Linked DNA regions of Lepisosteus oculatus. The protein of the gene in region 2 purifies or fractionates together with the protein of the main gene of each other region. This does not show direct contact. Links are inferred from orthologs where the notes say so. Each region holds a gene or a part of one and is shown on either strand. Other genes may lie near its edges. The genes, in order: cherp, rbm17 and sf3a3.

What was found.
Region 1: the proteins of rbm17 (region 2) and cherp purify together in Homo sapiens (co-immunoprecipitation; 4 studies listed by BioGRID and IntAct, counting the BioPlex papers as one, with this or other methods). This does not show direct contact. The link is inferred for Lepisosteus oculatus from reciprocal best matches to the Homo sapiens genes RBM17 and CHERP.
Region 3: the proteins of rbm17 (region 2) and sf3a3 purify together in Homo sapiens (affinity purification with mass spectrometry; 4 studies listed by BioGRID and IntAct, counting the BioPlex papers as one, with this or other methods). This does not show direct contact. The link is inferred for Lepisosteus oculatus from reciprocal best matches to the Homo sapiens genes RBM17 and SF3A3.

What each region holds. Positions count from the first base shown.
Region 1 is NC_090724.1:5,323,684-5,330,794, reverse strand, and holds the start of cherp (calcium homeostasis endoplasmic reticulum protein), read right to left. Parts: upstream 3,069-7,111; 5' UTR 2,872-3,068; intron 2,575-2,871; exon of another isoform or gene 2,550-2,574; 5' UTR 2,265-2,549; coding exon 2,240-2,264; intron 1,380-2,239; coding exon 1,206-1,379; intron 537-1,205; coding exon 498-536; intron 1-497. Other genes in the region: safb (scaffold attachment factor B1), read left to right, coding at 3,261-3,428, 4,753-4,840, 5,241-5,305, 5,396-5,626, 5,974-6,045, 6,621-6,648. UniProt on the Homo sapiens protein: Involved in calcium homeostasis, growth and proliferation.
Region 2 is NC_090702.1:43,509,660-43,517,115, reverse strand, and holds the start of rbm17 (splicing factor 45), read left to right. Parts: upstream 1-4,385; 5' UTR 4,386-4,486; intron 4,487-6,878; 5' UTR 6,879-6,899; coding exon 6,900-7,022; intron 7,023-7,316; coding exon 7,317-7,433; intron 7,434-7,456. UniProt on the Homo sapiens protein: Splice factor that binds to the single-stranded 3'AG at the exon/intron border and promotes its utilization in the second catalytic step. Involved in the regulation of alternative splicing and the utilization of cryptic splice sites.
Region 3 is NC_090706.1:5,552,934-5,560,845, reverse strand, and holds the start of sf3a3 (splicing factor 3A subunit 3), read right to left. Parts: upstream 3,072-7,912; 5' UTR 2,926-3,071; coding exon 2,830-2,925; intron 1,986-2,829; coding exon 1,938-1,985; intron 1,559-1,937; coding exon 1,506-1,558; intron 1,138-1,505; coding exon 1,032-1,137; intron 891-1,031; coding exon 818-890; intron 480-817; coding exon 388-479; intron 1-387. Other genes in the region: centrosome-associated protein 350, read left to right, coding at 4,941-5,015, 5,877-5,970, 6,727-6,905, 7,721-7,856. UniProt on the Homo sapiens protein: Component of the 17S U2 SnRNP complex of the spliceosome, a large ribonucleoprotein complex that removes introns from transcribed pre-mRNAs.

The DNA.
Region 1 (7,111 bases), on a different chromosome or scaffold from region 2:
AATTCAAGCAGCAATGATGATATTTAAAAAATCATTTAAACGAAAGACAGGCTGTGTAAATAGGAAACAGCTGATTTTCTAAACAAAGTATCAACCCAAACCCTGCCTATATCATGCAGCAAAAGAAGGCACACTGTCTTTAATATTCACAGTGCCAAGCGATACAGGTTAAACACTTCAGCAAGTGTCTGAAATACTGAACATCAGACTCTGGTACTTGCTATAATCTCTGTGATCAAAAACAGTATCTATTTAGGCTGAACATCCAGTAACCCCAGAATCCCCGATAACAGCCATGAGCCACAAATAATCAAAAGTCCATGTTTGAACTATACAAAAAAAAAAACAAAATGAAAAATAAAGCTCAAATAAACATAAAAATAGAAATGCAACTCAGCCTCAGATCTTTGATCATGCCAGAATGAAAATTAAAAAAAGAGCATGTCTGGGTATCCTTCTGTCAAAATGGAACTGCTGAGTAACATTCTAATAAATACCTTCCAACTTATACTCCTCACATTCGTGTGTAGTAGAATCTATAAGGAAAGAAGGACACCTTTAATACAGAACACTGCTGGGTTGATCGCTTCTTTAGAAAAACAATTGTTATGGAAATGATTTAATCTTAAGCCTCTATGACTTACTGCAGTTTCAGTGTTAACAATTAAAAGGTGCATCTCTATCATGCTTAGCAAAGTAAACTGAGAAAGAGCATCCTCTTTTTTGTACTGATGCCTGCCTATAATGAAGAAAACTACAAAATACTTTTGCAAATGTTGCCATTATGAGTCCATTACAATTAAAAACTAATCACACTTGTTAAAAAAATCTCATTAGTGTTTCATTTAATTTAACATAAAATAGCTTTAAAAATGCAGCACATTTTAAAGGTTAAAACATATCCTTATGAAACACTTCTCATCCACACCAATTTTCTGTTACTTAACTACTTATTATCTTTAACAAAGCAAGTTACTTGATTACATGAGATGAAAGGGAATTTGGAATAGAAATCTGAAATCCCTGCTGTGCTGCTCTTCAAAATAAAAGACAATATTTGACTCCTGAGTATAAGAAAACAGAGTAGTTAAAAAAAAAAAACATCTGCATATTTCCTTAACCAGACTCGACCACATAAAGCAGCGTTCTTTCAATGTAACGAGAAGCACAGGCAGTGGATTCGGGGTAGACAGCAGAGAACGTACGCTGTTGCTGCTCAACGGCCAGTTTGTACTTGTAGTAGTTGAAGAACTCTCCGCCAAACAGGAAGGAGAATTTGGGGTTTTCCTTCTGCTTCTCCATCGTCATCTTCTCAAACTCTGGGCCATTCCGGGCCACAAACTGGGCCAATTTATCGATGACATTCCTCAGCTCCTGGTCTGCAGAAATACAAAATGAACCCAGTGTTAAACACGGCCCACTGTTGCTTACGGACCAAATACGTTACCTTTCAGGATTTGATGAAGGGCTAATGTATTTGAGGCTTGGTAAAACATACATTATTTATTTTACAGTTTCTGCAGAATGCAACACATTTGCAAATCTCGTATATAGTGGAGCCTTTATTGACAGTACCTGTCTTTCTATATCTACCTATCACCCAAAACGTGAGATAAACCCAAAATAAGAATTTGCAAAGCGATGGAACAATCCACCACATACATTTATACATTTATGAGATTGTCTCTGTTGATTTAAGAGAGTCCGTTTTGCTATGTGTTCGCTGAATCTGATTCTTCAGGGCACTTAAAGGTGTCACGCCACACTTACTTTAACGCACTCACGTAACACTGTTTATGCCCCTATCAAATCCACTTTGTGGGCTTTTCTCAAAATTACTTGGCCGTTATAATAGGTGCGTGATTTCAACATCTGTTGAGCTTAGGGTCTGTTATTTTCTCTTACAAAGAAAGAAATACACTAAGATTTATATTGACGTCGATCTCTTGCGAGACGACTGGCTGCACCAGATTAGAATATACAACGTTAACAAAACGACTGCTAAAATAAACCAATGGAGACTGGTAAAGTATGAGGTATGTATCGATACAGGCCAAGTGAAGGGTTCACACTTTAACGGCGGGCTGCTTGAACGATGCAAATACAACATCATTCATTTCAATACAATGTCCGCTTGGAGGAAGGCGTGAGGCCCATGGCACACATCGCCAACAGCACGCAAGGTAAACCAAAAACCTAAAAATAAATCCAAATCTGGACTTCTGCGGTCGTTTCTTACCCTCGGGTGGCGCTGGGATATCCATGGCTACAAGAGGCACACTCGGACAGCACGGATCGCTAGTAAAACAGCTCCCAGTTTAACTCAGTAAAACGCTGCCCATTCCTCTCAGGGCTCAACCGGAAGCGCATCTTCAAGTGTAACAGATTCATATTTTTTTTTACACTGCGGGTCGTCTCTCCCTCCAAGAGGCCTCTAAGCGCCTGTAGCGCCGCCTGGCGGAGAGGAGGCCCGCTGACACTGAAAGGCGCTGGTGAGCCAGAAGAATTCGCGGTCGGCGTCTAGAAACTTCGGAGAACTCCTTCCCCGTCTTTCGGGTGAAAAAAAAACACTCGGTAATTTCATGAAATGTGTTGGGTCGGTACCATTAAGGGGGGGCATTTCATGGCTTTTCATTTATTCCAGAAGATATTATTTGTGGGAATCCTTAATTGCCGGTAACAAATACGTTCTGAAGTTTTGAATCTTGATCTGCTTTTGTATATCATAACGAGTACATTTTCCGCATAAAATCTGTGTATGAACACGGTTTTAAAAAACGGAACCTTACGTTGAAACCCCAAATTAAATGGATTTTTTTTAATCGCAAATTTTTGTGCACCGAGCATCACCGAGTATTGTGAGGACAATACCTTTCTATCCCACTTTTCGTGGGGAGTGTGAAGACCACTATCCCATGGTCGTGAGACGCGCGAAAAGTGTATTTTTGCCACAGTATTACCACAGTATCAGAGTATCCAGAACCTCTTACTCGTGAAATCACTGTTTTACTCTAAAGCAGAATTAGACATGTAGCCGTTTTTTTCCTAATGACAACGCGGGAACCTCGAGCCAGTGCGCAGACTCCGGCGGCGCGCTCTCGCCGGAAGGCGCATGCGCAGCTCTCCCTCCTCCACGGCCCGCCTCCTCCGCGGGGAGACGCCATTTTGTTTGTGCGCTACCGAGCCAGCGAGCATTACCTCTCGGGCGTCTCGCTTATTTCACCCGCTCTTTCTTTCTGCTTTGTGTTCACGGGCACGCGATGGCTGAAGGTTTGTCGGGCGCAGACCCGGTGTCGACCGAGATCCCGGAAGGCATGGGGGTCCGCAAGCTGTCGGATTTGCGAGTGATCGACCTGAAAGCTGAACTGAAGAAACGGAATCTGGACACCAGCGGCAACAAGAGCATGTTGTCGGAAAGGCTCAAAAAGGTGCTGTAGGCCTCGGATTTGTTCGTGCATTTAAACAGATAAGAGAAGTGTTTCTGTGGCGTACCCTTCATGGAAATGTAGTTCCGTATTGTATAGGTAGAGGGTATTTTCGAGTAAAGTCCGCATTGCCTTATTAATCAGTTGCCTGAGTTTGCGTAGGAGTGTGCACCGTTTTTGAACACGAGATGCTTATGTAATTTATTTTTGTCTCGGCAGTTGCTAAAAATGCTCTAGTTACATGGTATAATACACATTACAGATTGCTGTTGTCGATGTGAGAGGCTGCGTGTTACCCTGAAATGATATTATTTCGGTTTATCTTACGGTTTTTTTTTTGCCATAAAAGAAACCGAGAGCTGTCATTGAGAAATTAAAAATCGCTTAAGGACCTGGTGCGCAATGTTGGCGCAACTCCTGGTACTTTGATTTTGATTGCTGTTACTTAATAGGCTATATTAACGCAATTCGTGGATCTAAATCGTATTGACATACGCGTTACATCAGTGGTGAATAGACCAGGAAAACACCGCTGATTTGTTTTCTAAAGAACGATTATAACCGTGTGGTTTTAAATGAAGTACATATTTCTGGGATCGAGAAGGAGTTGGGTTTGATCGTGACCGCCGCAGTTTCATTTACAGTGTCTTCAGGGAGCCATGCGGGTTACTGCAGTACATTTTAGTGCAGATGGGATAACTTATAGCATGTTATATTAACAGTTTCCCACGTAAATGTACGGTCATAGGAGTTATTTAAGGTGAAATTTTAGAACATAAGCCAGATTTTGCCTGATCAAAAGCAGAATGCGAGACCGGTGTCGCACCCAGACTTACAGCTAGGTGTCCTTCTTCCTGGAAATAGAAATGCTGATCCAGTTCCCTGATGTAGGCCTTCAGATGAGATGTTCAACTGTCATCTTGACTGTGCTGTTTGCCTGATCATTCAAAGTCCCGTGGCACTGTTTTTAAGAGATAGGATGCTACTCCAGTGTGCTGGCTCAGTACTGCTTTGGGCATGGACAGCTTGACCTTCCTAAAGTACCCTGATTCAGTTCGTAAAGGAGTTTCTCACTTCTCAAGTCAGTAGTGTAGTGGGGTTGCTGCACGCCGCCTGGGTGGGGCTGTACACCAGTGATAGATGAGGTGCGTCCCCTCCTATATGTAAAATAATCTGGAATTAATAGAACTGTCAGGTTCAAGGAATTATTTATTAGTTACACAATTTGATGTTAGGTCCTTAAGGTGTTTTGGGTCACATTGGATGTGCAAGGTGTTGCTTCAGAATGTTTTTGGTAAACATTAACATGTTTTCAATTTCCCCACAGGCAATTGAAGAGGAAGGAGGGAACCCAGACGAAATTCTTGTCACACTTGAGGCAGCTCCCAAGAAGACCCCGAAGAGGACCCCCAAAGGTACACTGGGTGGAATTCTTTTAATCCATTCCTTAAATTCTTGCCTTAAGATCCTCTTGAGAGTTTTGAACCTTGGCTACGAATCCAAGAAATATATATTTTTTATCCCCCACCTTTTGGGTGATTGTAGGTCAGATCTTGAGGGATAAGATATGCCTAGTTTCTTGCTACACTTTCTTGAGGAGGTCAAGTGTTATCGCTGTCCATTAGGCTAGATGGTACTTGGCTAACTTGGTGGTTTGCTTTTTGGCCTAAAACTGCACCTTTGGTCATAGATGTGAAAGTTGATTTGTTTTAACACAGCTAAAATGTACAGAATATTTTTTTTTTCCACCTGGAAATTCAGCTATCTGTGTTCTTTGTGGGTGGTTGGTTTACTTCTGCTTTCATCCTCCTTTAGGAAAACGACAGGAGAGTGATGGTCTTGAAGATAGCACTATTGAAGAAGATTCGGGAGATGGGCAGGTGAGTGTTGTGATGCATCCTTGATTGTACAAAAATGGAGTGACCATACATTTAAATTCAAAATAAAAAAAAAACATTTATCTTGTGTAGGATGACCCGGAAGTAAACTTGGAAAATCTCCAGGAGATGGACATCATGGACATGAGTGTCTTGGATGAGGCCGAGATCGATAATGGCATCCCAGCAGACTGTGACGAGTACGATGCCGATGAAATTCTTGATTCACTTTCCAATGAAGGAGATGCTGAAGGCATTCCGGAGAGCTTTGCCCACGACAGCTCAGATTCTCCTGTCCCAGAATCCGATCAGAAGCCTGAAGAGGTGAAGAGCCTTGTTTTCTCTTTCAAAGGCCATCAGCCACATTTATTCTATAAATATGTCTCTGGGGGAAAAAAGGGGCTTATACTTTACTAAGAATTCAGAAAACATGTTTTTGTGAGCTTTTACAGACTGCATATAAGCTTTGAAAAGTTTTTTTCCCTAATGATGTCACTATTTTTATTTCTGAAATCCCTTTTTTAGAATTTTCTAATCCTTTGATATGGCTAAATGTCCTCAATTTCTCGTTTGACATGTCACTAGTAAAACTCAGGCAGTTCCCATCTGCTGTGTAGATGGCTGTCATTTATTTGGCAAATATTAACTTGTTTTATCTGCTGCAATTTTAGGATGAGAATATGGAGGCTGAAGGTGACTGTGCTCCAAACGTGGAGGATCTTGAGTCTGCTGAATCGAAAGAGGTATGTTAAAGCTTCCTTTTAAGTTTTTGTTTTTAAATTTGCTTTTATTGAAATTTTGTACAGTTGTGTCATTTGTCATAGTGTTATACTGATTGCTCATGAATCTTGAGGTATGTAGGTTAGGTAACACATAAAAGATGCTTTCATAGACCTCAGCTTAATCAAGGTATCTCAAGGGTCCTGAGCACATTAAAACTCACATTGGCACAACAAATTACAGTAGGATTACCTACTGTAGAAATACCTGGCTTGTTTAACAACCCTAAACCAGCTTCTATTGAGATCTTTTTTTACACTAAACTAATTTACACCCATGTGCAAATGTGGCATTCCTTTCACATTCAGTTAATGACTTAATCCCACTTTTAGTGAACAGAAGTATAATATGAGGTCATTTACCGGCCTCTAGTGGCAATGGAGTCTCAATCGCTTACCCAACATGCCGCGGATATATTTACATATTTCAGCATTTATCAAATCTGTCATGTATCTTGAAATATGCTAAAATATATTAATTGGTTCATTCGTTTATAATGATCTTCACAGTCACAATTGTTTCCTCTTTTTTTCCATAGGAATCTGAAGACATTAAGGACGAAACAGGTACTGTTCAGAACGAAAGTATAACATGTAGTAACTCAGTCTTTTCCCACAGTGTGTGAATCTTGATTAAGCAAATGCTTGACGTCGGTGTTCGTGCGCTAAAACGTTGTTCCCAAATAGAGACTGGAAACCCAAAGAGAGTTACTGGCTCTGTGTTCCAAAACCCATAGACTGATTATTTCGCTAACCTTAATTCATTGGCTTTTGATATTACAAGTGGGTTGTCCACATTTTCCGCTGCTGACACAGATCGATGTTGTCAGGGTGGTTAGTGAAAGCACAGGGCCAGTGATTTAAGCAGCACGCTTAGTGTTTTGAATAAGGTCTTCGCTTAGCCGTTGCAGATGATGTGCAGTGTTTTTAGGTTGCCACTTGCCACAAATGAAGACAGAAGTCAAGAAGAGAAGATTGGAGTCCGGCATTGGAAACGGTTAAAGAAAAAATCGCCCCGCGATCCATTTTA
Region 2 (7,456 bases):
CTTTGATACTTGCTGCTTCTTTGCTGCCATTTTTTCTTAATAATGGAACTTTCTTGGACACCATCTAATCTGCTTGCAATTCTAATTAGGCTCGGAGTTTTGACTGCCATCTGGTATTTGTTGAAAACACTCAAACAACTTCTCTGACAAAACTACAAGGCAAAACAAAGCAAAACCTGATATAAACAAAGCAGGTTGTTCTGCCTGTCAAAATCTTTCATGTGGCAAATTGCTACCTTAAAGAATCAAGGCTGCCACAGACCAATCAAATTGAAGGTCTGGGTAGATACTGTATTATAAGTATTATAACAATATAAGATATTGTAACAAACGTGGTAGAGCTCGTAGAACATGGAATAACAGCAACATACACATAGAGCATACAATATTGTGTTTTTAGATTTTCAGATTTGATGAAGTTCCAAGAAAGATTAATTCTCAAACTGTTGGTGGTAGGCATTCAAGGAAATGCAGTAATCTAGTGTGAGAACTGAATAAGGAGAAGGAGGTAGAGTACAGATAAAGGGTAACTGTTCAGACTGGGGTGATATAGTAGGAAGAGTAAGATAGAGATCTGCTCTTGCTAATGTACTGTATGTGAATGATGTAGATTCTGGTTTAGTGAGAGTTAGTTATAACTAGTCAAGTTTGCAGATGATACCTAAACAGGAGGAATAGTAATCACTCTAGAAGCAAAACAAATAAAAAAGAATTCAGAGAACGTTCAAGACTGGGCAAACATCTGGTAGATTATATTTAATTTAGACATGTTTGTGGTTTTTGTGCAGGAAGTAAAAGCAAAGCATAAATACAAAATGGGAAACTGAGCAAGTAGAGGCTACTTTTAAAAGACCGAGGCGCTCACGCTAACGAACATTTATATCATCCAATGCTGGGCACCAATAAAAACAAAATGTTAGGCAATATACTGTAGTTATAAGTGCAAAATTTAAATAGAGGGATAATATTTCCACAGCTCTAGTAAATCCTCATTTAGAATAGTACGTACACTCTTTGGCACCAGGTTATAAGATATAGATATTGCTGCTCTGGAACCTGTCCAGAGCATAAGAGATACAGTACATTGATGAGATCCATGTATCCAAAATCCTCCAAGGCATCAACAAAGTCAACTTAGTGGACTATTTTTTAGTATAAATAGTGAAACACAATGTTTGTAAAATTGCATTTGAAACCAAGAACAGGAGACACTTATTTAGCAAAGGGTGGAGGGTGTCTAGAGTAAGTCTGCCCAGTGCTGTTGTCAAAAACGATAACCTGGCTTCTTTCCTGACATCCTTGAATCAGATTACAGTTAGCTACAACAACTGAATGGGCTACATGGACCAAATGGCTTCCCCTTGGCTGTAGCCGTACTCATGTTCTTATGATGCTGAAGATCCTTGTTTACTTAAGAAACACAAAACAGTCTACAGTAACTAATGCATCACGAAGCCAGACTTCTGTGATTTAACTTTTTCCTGGAAACTTTGCCTGGGGTTTCCGCCCTTGCCACTCCTGCCCTGCCAGTTCGTCCCTCACTGCCTGGGCACGAACCTGGGTCTCCACCGTCACGGAACAGGGAACTTGCCAGCTGAGCTAAAGGAGAACTCCCCCAGCCCGGGCAGCTGAGATCCCTGTTATATACAGGGGCGTTTCATTACACCTGCAATCTCTGTTTGAATTACACTAAGAAGTTATATGTATCTTATTTTAAACCTTTTCAAATCCTACCTTATAGGTATACCTTATTAAATATTTTAAAACTCTATAGTTGTTTAAACTCTGTTAAACCTAAATTGTCTAAGCATGTCAGCAATTCTGAGTGCAACACATTTAGGATGTCCTAAATATACCATAATATATTTTAGAAAATATTAAGAGAAAGGCATTAACAGATGCAACCAACATGCCTATTCAGTATATAAATATAAAGAGACAAAGAAATTAATTACCAGTATTAATGCTACCAGAGCAGTGGTTTTCAACCTTTTTTTAAAAAATCAATTAATTTCTAGAATCAAATTCAAATATCTGCATTTTTGCATCAGACGGTTGAAGTGAAGAGAGTATGAGGCTGTAGTCCTGTGATGTGGAGAAGGTTTATTGCCCTAATATTTACAGTGGGGGGGCATGCTGGTCACAGAGGTAGAGAAGGCAGGAGGAGAGACGATAAAATTAGACATTTTATTTATCATCTGGGCATTCACTCACAGACTGAGTCATTGCCCAACCCTATCAGATTTTACAACAAGCATTCATCTGGTGGTATATGGGCCACAAATAAGTGGGAAAGTTGTAACGATCTGACTTGATAACTACTTCCCAAATCAGTTTACAGCTAATAAGGATTTCAAGGTAAGCAGTATCTCTAAGTTTATAAGTTTTGGCAGGATGAATTCCTTCGCAGCAAAATAAACACAATTATACTTAGACTATCCTGGAAGGGGCCGTGAATCCTGGGTCCTTAATGGTGGTACCTCAGTCCCCTTCCAAGCCTCAAAGATTCCCTCCTGCTTTGTGAAGTGTCCTTACTTCTTTTGTGTTGGTCATGTAAAAAGACACTATCTTCACAAAGATCTGAATAAGGTCTTCTAATTTGAAAAGTGTAATAGATGTAAAAGATGTAATAGAGGACAGGCAAGGTTTTCCTGCTATGACACAAACTGGAATACTGCTTTTTGTTTTGTTAATGGGCGGATGTAGCTGTGGCTCAGGCAGTCTTCCAAGTTTCTCTGACTAGTTGACTTCTCCTTCTGATTTCTTCCTTCCTCTCAAAAAGAAAGAGGAACTTTCTTTTAAAACCCTAAGCTCCTTCTCTAGGCTCACACAAGTGTTACAAAAGATAGGACTAATTACCCAATTAAACTAATCAATCAACTTAAACCTGGCCTGGCTTCGATCATTGAAGAATAGTTAAATTCTCCAATATGAGACCTTCTGTGCCTTTCATTCATTTGTATCTACTGCTCCAAAGTGACCATAATTAAAACAATCACCCCCTGAATGCAATCACCCCCTGATGCAAGCTGCCATCACCTGTAGCTTCATGTTGGAACTCAACATGGGTTCAATTCCTAGGGTGTTATCTTCAGGGAGCTTTTATATTCTGCGGATATTCTCGTGGGGTTCCTTCAGCTGGTCTGGTGTCCTCCCACTGTCCAAAGACATACTGGTAGGTTAATTGGCTTCTGGGAAAATTGGCCCTAGTGTGAGTGTGTGTGTCTGCCCTGAGATGGACAGGTGTCTTATTCAGAGTGTATCCCACCTTGTGCCTGTTGCTTGCTGGGATAGGCTCTGGCTCCCAAGTGATTCTTAATTGGATGAAGAACTTAAAGGATGGATATCAGAAACTGCTAAGTCACTTTTTGGAAGCTGCCAGATGAGAGGTCAGCTATGTTTAAACATTTGCCCTCCTTTTTAACTTGTGGGTTCTAAAATATGTATATTGCTATAAAAAGCTTGGGAAATAGTTATTTGAATTTTGTGAAACACATTTGGCTTCTCCCTATTCCCTCTGTACTCAATAAAGCCCTAATTTGTTTAAAATTTCTATCATGTTTAGTCCACAATAACATAACAAATAGAGGTTCAGTATATGCCAGCAGCCATATCACCCTGCAACTTACTACTGACAACCCATTGACGCAAAGCAGGTGTCACTCTGGTGAGTATCTGGATGGGAGACCTCCTGGGAAAAGGTTAAGTTGCTGCTGCAAGAAGTGTTAATGGGACCAGCAGAGTGTGCTCCGTGGTCTGTGTGGGTCCTAATGCCCCAATATAGTAATGGGGATGCTATACTGTAAAAAGGTGCAGTCCTTCTGATGAGATGTAAAATATGACTCCTTGTGGTCATTAAGAGTAGGTGTGTAACCCTGGCGTCCTGACCAAATTTCCCCCTGATCTTTACCAATCATGGCCTCCTAATAATCCCCATCTATGAATTGGCTTCATCACTCTGTTCTCCTCCTCACTGACAGCTGATGTGTGGTGAGAGTACTGGCACATCATCCAGGTGGGGCTGCACGCTGGTGGTGGTGGAGGGGAGTCCCCATAATGTGTAACGTGAGTGGAATGTCCAGAAAAGTGAAGTGTAAAGAATTATTTGTATTATATAGTATAAATACCAGATAGTATATATTAGTATAGATATACTAAATAAACCGACCTGTAGATTTAAGTAGTATTTTGGCATGAAACTGTTATATCTGAAGTCCATCTGATCAGAAATGTTGAGTGCATTTTTTCTCTCTGACCTTCCGTCTCGGTTAGCGATATTTGTTTTTCCCTTGCGTAAAGCGACATCTAGTGTCAGAATAAAACGTTCCCGAGGTTCTGATATTCACGTGTAGTTTCAGTCCTCCACTGGGTGGTGGCAGCAGAGATTTTAACAGGGGGTCTTCATGTAACTCCGCTTTCTTTTTCCAGCGATGTCGTAAATATCTTCGTTTTTGAACGTTGTTTGATTGCGTTTGTATAAAGTCTGGTAGGTATTGTTTTAAATATAACCTAATAGCTAAAATATTTGAATTAAACGGTGTGGATTCTTAACTCTGGGTTTTAACCGTACCTGTGGCCCAGATATGGTTGTGATGTGCGGGTCAGTAAATGGAGTACACCGTTTCAAGTCCTTTTATTAGGAGAAATAAATATGTTCTTCTGCGAAACCTGACGTTTTGTTTCTGAAAGCTACTATATTGCGCTCTTTTGTATCAGTCGTAAGAAGGCGGTTATTGTTTGTAGGATTTCAATATGTTGTGCTTTTGTTATGATAAGCATGAATGGTGATGGCGCGCCACGTTTAGTTGAACTTAATCTTGTGAGTTTACAAGAACGTGTGTATTTCTTAAAGCTGTTAGTCATGGCGTATAAAAAAGTCCTGGGGAACGTTTTTACTTGTCTTTGCTTCCTTTATGTGAACATTTAATAAAGACGTACAATGTAATAGTTAATCTCTGTCTACGGACTGGAAGTCAAAATTGCAGTTATTCTAAAAAACTCGCAGTATTTATATGATATGTAAGGTGAAATATTAATAACTTTTTTAACATAAGTTCTATTCATAGCTCGAGTTTTGGGTAGTTCAACCATGATTAGCAAGTGTTGTGAAACAGCCCCTAAGTACTACAGTCATGTAAAAAAGAAAGTACACTATCTGTCAATTAAATGGTTTTACGTATCAGGGCATAAATAACAATCGTCTGGTCCTCACCAATTTCTGTATTTAGACAAACCTAGCCTCAGATAACACAACACATTACAGATTTCATTATGTCATTGTTTGTTCAACAAAAAGTAAGCCAAAATGCAGAAACCATGTGGGAAAAATTAAGTACACCCTTACTGCTTCCATAGGAATTAAGAAGGTAATTAGCAGCCAGGTAATGCTTATCAAATGCACTTGATTAGTTGATCAACAGGAAGCATGACCACCTCTATAAAAGCAGAAGTTTTGGCAGTTTGGTGATCTTGAGCATTCAGGTGTGTTAACACCATGCAAAGGAGAAAAGACATCAGCAATGAACTCAGAAAAGCAGTTGTTGCTGCTCATCAATCTGGGAAGGGTTATGAGGCCATTTCCAAATAATCTGAAATCCATCATTCTACAGCGAGAAGGATTATTTACAAATGGAGAACATTCAAGACAGTTGCCAATCTTCCCAGGAGTGGGCGTCCCAGCAAATTCATACCAAGGTCAGACCGTATAATGCTCAGCGAAATCGTAAAGAGCCCAAGAGCTACCTCTAGGGATCTACAGTCCCGGTTAACATGTTAAATGTTAAAGTTCATGACGGTACGATCAGAAAAAGACTGAACAAGTATGGCTTTCATGGAAGGGTAGCCAGGAGAAAGTCCCTTCTCTCCAAAGAGAACATGGCAGCACGGCTTAGGTTTGCAAAGTTGCATCTGAACAAACAAGAAGATTTCTGGAAAAGTGTGCTTTTGACAGGCGAGACCAAAGTGGAGATGTTTGGTCATTATGCACAACGCCATGTTTGGCGAAAAACCAAACACAGTGTATCACCACAAACACCTCATACCAACCGCCAAGCACGGTAGTGGAGGGGTGATGATTTGGGCTTGTTTTGCAGCTATAGGACTTGGGCACCTTGCAGTCATTGAGTTGACCACAAACCAAAGTATTCTAGAGACAAATGTGAGACCGTCTGCCCGACAGCTAAAGCTTGGCCGAAATTGGGTCATGAAACAGGACAACGATCTCAAGCACACCAGCAAATCGACAACTGAATGGCTGAAAAAGAAAAGAATCAAGGTGTTGGAATGGCCAAGTCAAAGTCCAGACCTCAACCCCATTGAGATGCTGTCTGTGAGACCTGAAGAGAGCTGTGCATAAACAGATGCCCTCAAACATCAGTGAACTGAAGCAATGTTGTAAAGAACAGTGTGCCAAAATTCCTCCAAAACAAGCGACTGGAGGAATATTTATAAGAGACCGATAAACTCATACAGGAAACGATTACTTCTGCTTCTGTAAGCTACTGAATCATGGGGTGGACTTAGTTTTTCACGCATGGCTTCTGCATGTTAGCTTATTTTTTGTTAAATTAAATAATGACATAGTGGAATCTGAGCTGTGTTGTTTATCACCTGAGGTTAGATTTACCTAACTGTAGGACCTGGTAAGGACCAGTTGATTTTTTGTTATGTCCTGATATATAAAACCATTTCAGAATTGAAAGAGGGTGTCCTTTCCTTTTCACATGACTGTCTATGTTGACTGCTGCCAGCCATGTCGCAGCGATGTAGTATTACAGGCTGTTGCATTTTTTGTGCAGGCTTTGTGAATTAGTATTCTCAATCTTTCTTTCAAAGTGCCGTTGGTCTGTTTTATCAAAAGATCCAATTTTGTCTCCAAGGTATTCCGGAACTAAAGGAACATGTCCCTCTATGATGACCTGGGAGTTGAGACCAGCGACACGAAAACGGAAGGCTGGTCCAAGAACTTCAAGCTGCTTCAGTCTCAGCTTCAGGTGAAGAAAGCAGCGCTGACACAGGCCAAGGTATGGGAGAGTACCGTTTCATTGGTTAGATCAGTTAATATGATAACGATATGAACATGATGTAGATGATGCATAGGTCAGATTGATTGATTTATTTATTCAGAAATATTTCTTTTAAATTTCATCAAGATTTTTTAATTAGGACCTTTGGTTGGAGCAGGGCACGAAGGAAATAACAGTAGAATGCACAGGAAGTTTTTCTTTTCAAAGCTGAAAATATTTTTAATGTAGTCTGAGGTGTGTTTTTGGTAAAATATGATGTTTAAATAGATTTAACACTTTTCCTCCTTTCAGAGCCAGCGTACAAAGCAGACTACAGTTTTAGCCCCGGTGATCGATCTGAAGAGGGGCAGCACCAGTGATGACAGACAGATCTCTGATACACCTCCCCATGTGGCAGCTGGCCTGAAAGTATGAACGTTTTGGGTTAATCT
Region 3 (7,912 bases), on a different chromosome or scaffold from region 2:
TGGACTCTTTAAAAAAGATTGTGGCTCTGGAAGCAGGCAAATGCAGAGTGGTTGAGTATATTCCTGAGATTGTTGGAATGCGATATTGAAAGACATTAATCTCAAAATTCTCAAAGGTACCGACAAAGTCAGGACAACAATGTCTTCAGATTTACAATGTACTGCAACCCAGACAATACAAAAGACAACTAAATGAAAATCGATTTAAGACACAAAGCACTTCTTGAAAGTTATCCATGCATAAAGCAGATTCTTGGTAGGAACAATGATCTATTCGTACCCAAATGGACAATCCTGATCAAATACCCATTTTTATTTCCTTATCCAGCAGTTAATGATATCCAAGTGCACAAGTGAAACAAAATAAAGCTAAATCCAAGATCTTACCTCTGCTCCTTTCAGGTTGATGTACTTCAGGTAACAATCATGAAGATCAAGATATCGCCCATATCCTTCCTCATCAGTGAATTCAACTAAATCTAACAATATTTACAAAACATTAAGAAGTGAGTGTCTTACGAACAATAGGTTAGAACACAACTAAAGATATTTGTTACTCAAGATAACATCACCAAATAACTGTTATTCTTAGTCATAATTCTGCCTTCTTCATCAAGTTTACATCTCTGAGATTAACAATGCAGAAATACCACTAGAAAAAAGTCAACAAGGTCACAAAATAAACTAAAGAAAGAGACTAGGAAGAGATCTAAGAAAAGATTTACTGTGAAAGGAGTTAGATAATGCATTCATGTAAAAAGGATTTGCTTTCCTTCCAAATCATAATTGGATTAATCTCAAAAGATTTTCGTCTTACTCTGTGCTTCTTCACTGGGGTTTTCTCTGGCTTTCATTAGCTCTTCAAATTCAACAGACATGGGAACACAGATCTAAATGATCAAAAAACATTAACATGATTAAGAAAGAAGGATAAACAGTTCTGGAACAGAAAAGCATGTTTAATATGAAACGTTAGATCACAATTAAACTGCAATCTCAGGTAAATGCCTTGTTGTTGTGTGTAAGTTCACCTCATTGGGGTGTTTCCTGTGAAATTCCTTTATCTGCTTCAACCGGTTGTAGAATTCAGCAAATTCATTTGGTCCCGAAATAGCACTGAGCTCCTCCTTTCTCATTCTGTGAGGACAGGCATGCAGAAAGAAACATTATATTCAAATAAAAAAAAAAACCCAAATATTTAGAAATGCATTTGTAAATATCTACTAATGTCATGGTTATATAAAGTTAAAATGTTACCTGCTCAATATGTGAAAGCAAGTTAGTTTTAATTCCTTTGTATGACAAATCTACCAACAGGCAACTGAAGAATCTGGTACTCTCTGGTGATTTGTTCAGAGCACAGCAGAACAATTTAGTTTGGCAATCTACTCGTTAACGAAAATCAGATCATCTGAAGTAAGAGTTCATGCAGCATTTTTAATCATTCTGCAATGACGTGTTTATATCAATACCAGCAGAAATAACCGCTGGATCCACAGACTCACCCATCTTTATCTTCATAGGAATCCCGCAGATTTGCACTCACTTCCATGTACCTCTGGAAAAGCAATTAAAATGCGGTTGTATTTTCTAAAACATACTTAACGAGGTACAATCTTATATTTTATTACGTGGAAGTTATTGACTGAAGTGCGGGAAGGGTGACAAGTCAGTCTCACAGAGCTGTACCTAGTCACCATCATCATGACGTAACTCGCTACATATACTCAACTCAAACCCGTCTCCACCTTGCAGCTGCCCCTTGGTCTGAACTGGGTTTAACCAAGCAGGTTAAGCCAAGCTTGTCTCACCAAGCATTCCAAGCATCCAATTCCTGGATGTTATTTAATTACCCATGAAATAAAAAAGGACCACAAATCAAGCAAATATCCGACGTGGCTGTAGGACTTAAGATAGGAAATAAACGCATTACTCACATCCAGCATTGCTCTTGTCCGGTGATCTGAGTTTATCTGGTCCCTTAACTAAACAAGAAAGAGAAAATCAGCTCTGTGACAAATCAGAATGTATAGTTTGCCAAAATCCATACATATACGGCACACATATGAGTGTGACCAACGTCACCGTTGACAAAATCACGGACGGTAATTATGTTGCTTGAAGCAGAAAGTTACCTGTCACTGTATCCTCCAAAGTACAACTAGAATTTGTAATAATACTAAGAACTTTTAATTACACCTCCAAATAAGACTATAATTTAAATAAAGAAATAGGTGAAAGGGCAAGTTAAAAGGCACCAGCTACTTTATTTCTGCATCCCACTTCCGATTGCTAATTTTTCACTAGAATACAAAGCGTGAATATAACTCATGTGAAGCAAAATCAGCTCATCTATTCAAGTTCACAAGCAGCTCCAAATCTCGGTGAAGGAAAATCAAAAACTGCAAGCAGATCGTTTGCTTCATATGGTCAAAAATAAAATGTTTAAAAAACGTATTCACACGCGTAGAAGAGACCCAATACCTTAAAAACAAGGAAAGCGGTTACATTTTTTACATTCAACCAGGTAATTAGTTAAAGTATGCGGTTGTGAATAAAAACACTGAAAACAACTGTGCACCACAACTTGAAAACAGCCTCTGAAATCTCTTAAAGCACCTAGTATTTATTTATGCAGTCTAAAACCAAGTATATTATTTGAACGTAAAACATTTTGAAACAACGAAAGAGTTCTGCAACATTAAAATAAACAACACAGAACCGACCTACTGATTTCTTTTTTTCTAAAAAAAGGTTTGCCCTAATTTGCCGGGATCTGCGGGTCCACAAACACGGGCCTAACTCAAAGGCGGGTGCTGCGCAAGTTACCGTAGTTTTTTTGTGTAGCATTTCTTTTGTCTTGGCATCCATGAGCCTTTCTTTTTCCTCATGGTAGCGCCGCTGCTGCTCCAAAATGGTCTCCATGTTTTAATGAAACAAGAAACAAATACAAAAGACAAGTTGTAGCCTTTCCCGCTTCACTCCCGTACAGTCACAACACACAGACGGAGGCGAATGCAACACGCACCACATCACAGACTACCGGAAAGCATCTCCCTAAAGTGTCCGGTGTCAAACTGAGAAACAACAAACGCAGTCGAAAGATTCCGGGACGTCATGTCCATTTTTGTGTTGGTCAAGTCGTAACTTCTCAAAATCATTACCGCTATTTTAAAAGTTAATACAGGAAAAAAATAATTCATGAATTCAATTTAGATATTCAAACCAGCACTTAATACTTTATATTTTACTCATCCGAAACACTGTCAATATCAAATAAACACATCGCCCGGTGGTGAGGAGGAAGTGCACCTCGGCGTTGAGGCTACCGCAAAGCAGGCTGGGAATTGTAGGCCGGGGGAGTCCGAGGGTCCGTAACCGTAAGCAGCAGCTGACCCTACTCATGTAAATATACCTGTGTTAGTTTAAGTGTTCCCTGAAGTTTAGTGCCCTATAAGTTAGTGTGTAGAGTCTGTTAAAGAGTTACCACCATAAACCCGAGTACATGTTCCCTTGGTCCCGTAATGTGTGCGTAAATCCCGTGGTCTGTTTACGTAAAGGAGAGTAAAAATTGGTGTTAGTGAGTTTAGTCCGTCTCCGATTAATTTCGTCCTGCACGAACCCGTAAGCGTTACAATACCAAATCATTTCGGTTCTCAGTAATAGTTGGTTACGTTGATTAGTGAGCAACTGTGGTTTTTAAGTTCTGGACGAGCATGACATTTAAATATTATGCGCCACGGAAGTTCCTCACAGTAGAGACCAAGAGTTACAGTGCTATCTTTTTGCTTCTTTGTGAAATATAACTGTACCCTTGGGTGTCGTATAGATGAGAAAGGTGGAAGCAAGCAGAATGTATAATTATTATTGCTTTATTACTGTTAGTCAACTAATAACAACTCAAACCTTTGCCCTTTTAAAACCTGGCAATACAGTATGTTCGTATGCAACAGTTTTATATGCATCTAAATAACACTGTAAACAGTGAGGTTTTGATTTTGTATAAAATCTTGTATATTATCTGAAAATCACTGGGGGTGATTTCTGGGACTAGTCCTGTGTTCCAAGAATAACAAATACCTTATTTTATGTTTTGTCTAGAAAAACTAGAACTGGCATTTCTTTTCAAACATAACCAAAAGAGGAACGATTTAAACCATGCTAACTAGGGCAGAGTGGCAAATTCACTTTTGTATGAGTTCCACTGGATGTCCAGCACCAATGGCTAAGAGGATTAGGTTAGATTTATTAACTGGATTGGTTCTCACCTGTCAACAAACCCTCATAGCAACAGCAGGGAATTTATACACAGGGCGATAGCCAAGGGAACACGCCTGGGCTGTAACTACATTCTGACCTAGAAAAGGCTTCCACACCACATGGCAGCAATTGGATCTCTCTAGAAAAGGCTTTAAGGATTCCCAAGACACAGAACTAAAAGGTAGCATTAGCTGCAATATGTACTAGGCTATGCTGATTTCTGATATTATTTAGCAGAACTGACAGCAGGGCTAAAATAGTTGTACTATATGTGTTCTGCTACTCTGTCCTTCAATCATGAGCCCTCAGTGGCTGCTGCTGGCAGCATATGCTGGTCATATGTAAATGTATAGAAATCAATTAGATATGTTCATTTTCCTTGAGAGCTAAAATGCTCATTGAGAAACTGTGTTTCATATGTCCCCTCGCAGATTCTAACTAAACCACTGCAACATGGCTGAAGCAAAGCCTCTATTGGGTAAAATAAATAATGTTTTCAAGCGTTGACTTTTTAAAGTTGTTGCTAAAAAATAAATGGTAATTACATGCAGGCTAAAAGCTTATAGTGTCTGACTTAACCCACATTTCTGCACCACTGGATGAAGCTGTTTGTTGTTGTATCCCTTTTCTTTATAGCTCCACTAATGGGTATATAGTTCACAGATCTAGCTGGCTTCAATATGGTCTTCTGTGTGTTCTGGTCTATGTTAGATTGGACATTTAGAGGACTGATATGTTTCTGGAGATTTATGTGGGTAAGTAAAAAAACTTTCAGGCTCTACACTATAAAGTAGCAAAATAAAAGCATACGTGAAGATAGTAAAACCTATGTATTTATTTAATTGCCTGTTTGCATTTAACAAGATACAGGTGTGTTGATGGGGATTTTATTTAAGAATAAAGACAGATATTAAGCAAAGCTATATACAGTATGGTAGTTATGTAGGATGAGAGCTATTAGTCTGTAGCTGACAGGACTGCATGATGTAATTATAGCCAAAAGCCTATGTTTTATTGCTGTGCACTTCCCAGTAACACTATTATTACATTTTTTAAAATAACATGCAGTGCTAAATGATATCTAGAAAGGAATGACAAAACCATAGTAATTTAAACAAACGTTGTGGTTTCACATTCACATCGTTGGGCAAGCAAACAAATAATCTGGAATTCAGAGCTCACTGATGAGCTTTACTGTTATACAGTATGTGAAAAGTAAACATAGTAGAACTTGCAGATTCATGCATTTCTATATAAATTTTAACATAAATGAATATGCAAGTCTTGCCAACCTCCTATCATTTAAGACTGAAAAATAAAAACTTCAATAACGAATTCTTGATGTAGTTTTAATTTCGTTGGAATTTTTTAGACTTCAATTGCTTAAAATGTAACCATTTAAAAGGACTAAAGGTTTTATTTTAGAGTTTTCGATGTACTATATTTGTAAAATGTGTTCCATCTCTTTTGTACCAAGTGTAGCACGATCACTCTTATTTAAATATTTTAACGGAATAGGCTAATGTTTTCTTGGGAACTCTTTGAAGGGATAACTAGGCGTTTCTGTTGTTTCCATACTGTGGCCAAGTTTTTCACTTTTCTGTCTTTCATTCCAGGTGACCCCATTCCAAGCAATCACGTCTTCTTATCTCAGTAAAAAGCGAAAGATTGTAGATTTTACAGTTCACAGCCCCAAGCTTGAAAAAACAGGTTTGTGGTTCATCATTTTTTTTTCCTGATGAGAAGATAAAAAGTTTTTAATTAAAGTAATATTTCAGGTTAATACGTTGTGCAAGTCTTTTATTATTACATTACGCCACGAACACCCTCAATAGTGGTGCCAGAAATGAAACATTTTAATTTGAGGCTGTGTTGATGTTTATTTTGCTCAGATTATTCTACTGGATGTACCTTACAGCAGAAGTTCCATGTTTTTTGTAGTATGTAGTCTAGAATAATACTATAAAATACAATACGGTGAAATTTTAAATCGCGAAATAAAAATGTTTTTATCTCTCGAGTGTAATCTTGACGTAGGATGTTATGCACGCATACTTCCAGCAGAGGGAGCGCATAACATGTCAGAAAACAGTTTTCTGATGTTTCAAGATGCTTCAAAGCGCAATATTTCAATCTATCCTTTCAGAAACAAATCTTACCTTTACACCACCACCTTTGCTTGTGATTTGAAAGGGTGCTCACCATGAACTGGAGCTCTGTAAAATGGAGATTAATTTGTCTGAGATGACTAATCTTGATTTTAAACTTGAATGAGTAGTGTTTCAGAGTGCTGCATTCTTTACAAAACCCAAAATTGTAGGAAACATCAGTGCCTGTAAAACAACAGAGGCCCTTCAGTGCAAAAAAACTGAAATACCTATTGGAGGTTGTGGGATGTCTGCTAATAACACATTTCTCTGTGCCAAGTGCACTTATACCATTTTTTCTATTGAACATTCCTTCTAGATACTGAAGTCTCAGAAGAGACGTCAAACCTTCATGACTGCAGTAATTTGGTTCGCAAGAGATTATCCAAAGCTGAGAGTGAAATTCAGCTATTGAAATCACAGATTTCAAAGGAAAAAGCTGTTTGGGAAAAGAGGTTTCTGGAGCTGCAGAGAAAACAGCTGGAACTGAGAGATCAGGTATATCCTTCTCCACAGGTATCTGAATATGCATCCATAAAGACTGTTGCAAGGTTCCTGACAGGTTCACAAGCAAGCATGCATTCTCAGTCTCTTTAAGTTAAAACAACTATATATCTAGGAGAAGGGTTACTCTTCCCCTTGACTCTTATACTATTGATGATTTAAAGAGACTAAAAACCTTAATGAATTCTAGACCCAAAGACCTAGAGTTTAGGAACACCTTCTATGATGGATTAAGTACTTTCGTTTCCTTCTAGATTTTCTTGTCCTGTGTAAATAAATGTGGAAAATATTTCTATGCAGTTCTTCTGTAAGGTAGAATGAGGCATTATTTGTCAAAATGATCATACAAGATTGGATTTATTGGAAAATCGGAGATGAATTCCCTCACAGGGTCCATTTTTCTTATATGAATTTCTCATATGACAACTTTTGAACACTCTTTGCTGTAGTTGTTAGTTGTGAGTGTTAATAAGTATTGATAACCTAGAGATGGTTTAATGATTGGTGGTATTTTACAGTACATTAGTGGTTTTAGTAACATGCAATACATTGGAAAATTAATTTAAAATAATAACACATTTATATACCACTGCAGGGGGAAATAAAATCAGTGTGTCTGCCAAAAAACAATTAACTTGTATGTCGATATTTGTTTTGGCTTTCATTTTTTTAATTTGGCAGCGAGAGTTCAGAAGCAAGCCGCAACATGCAGCTATTTCACACTTCCACACCAATATAGAAAAATGTACACAGCAAGATCCTAAAGTCATTCAAATGGGCAAGTAATCTACTTTTTAAAATTTTTCCAGCTCATATCAGAAATCTTGGCAAGAAATGGAGCTCTATTCGAAGATGATATCAGTGGCTTCATAGAGAGTGACATAACGACATCCAAATCTGACCTGGAAAATCACTGCATGCTTGATGCTTGTGCAAGTAAGCAAAGTAAGTTCAAAATGCAAAAAGTGATCATACATTACTACAGTAAAATGAATCATCTA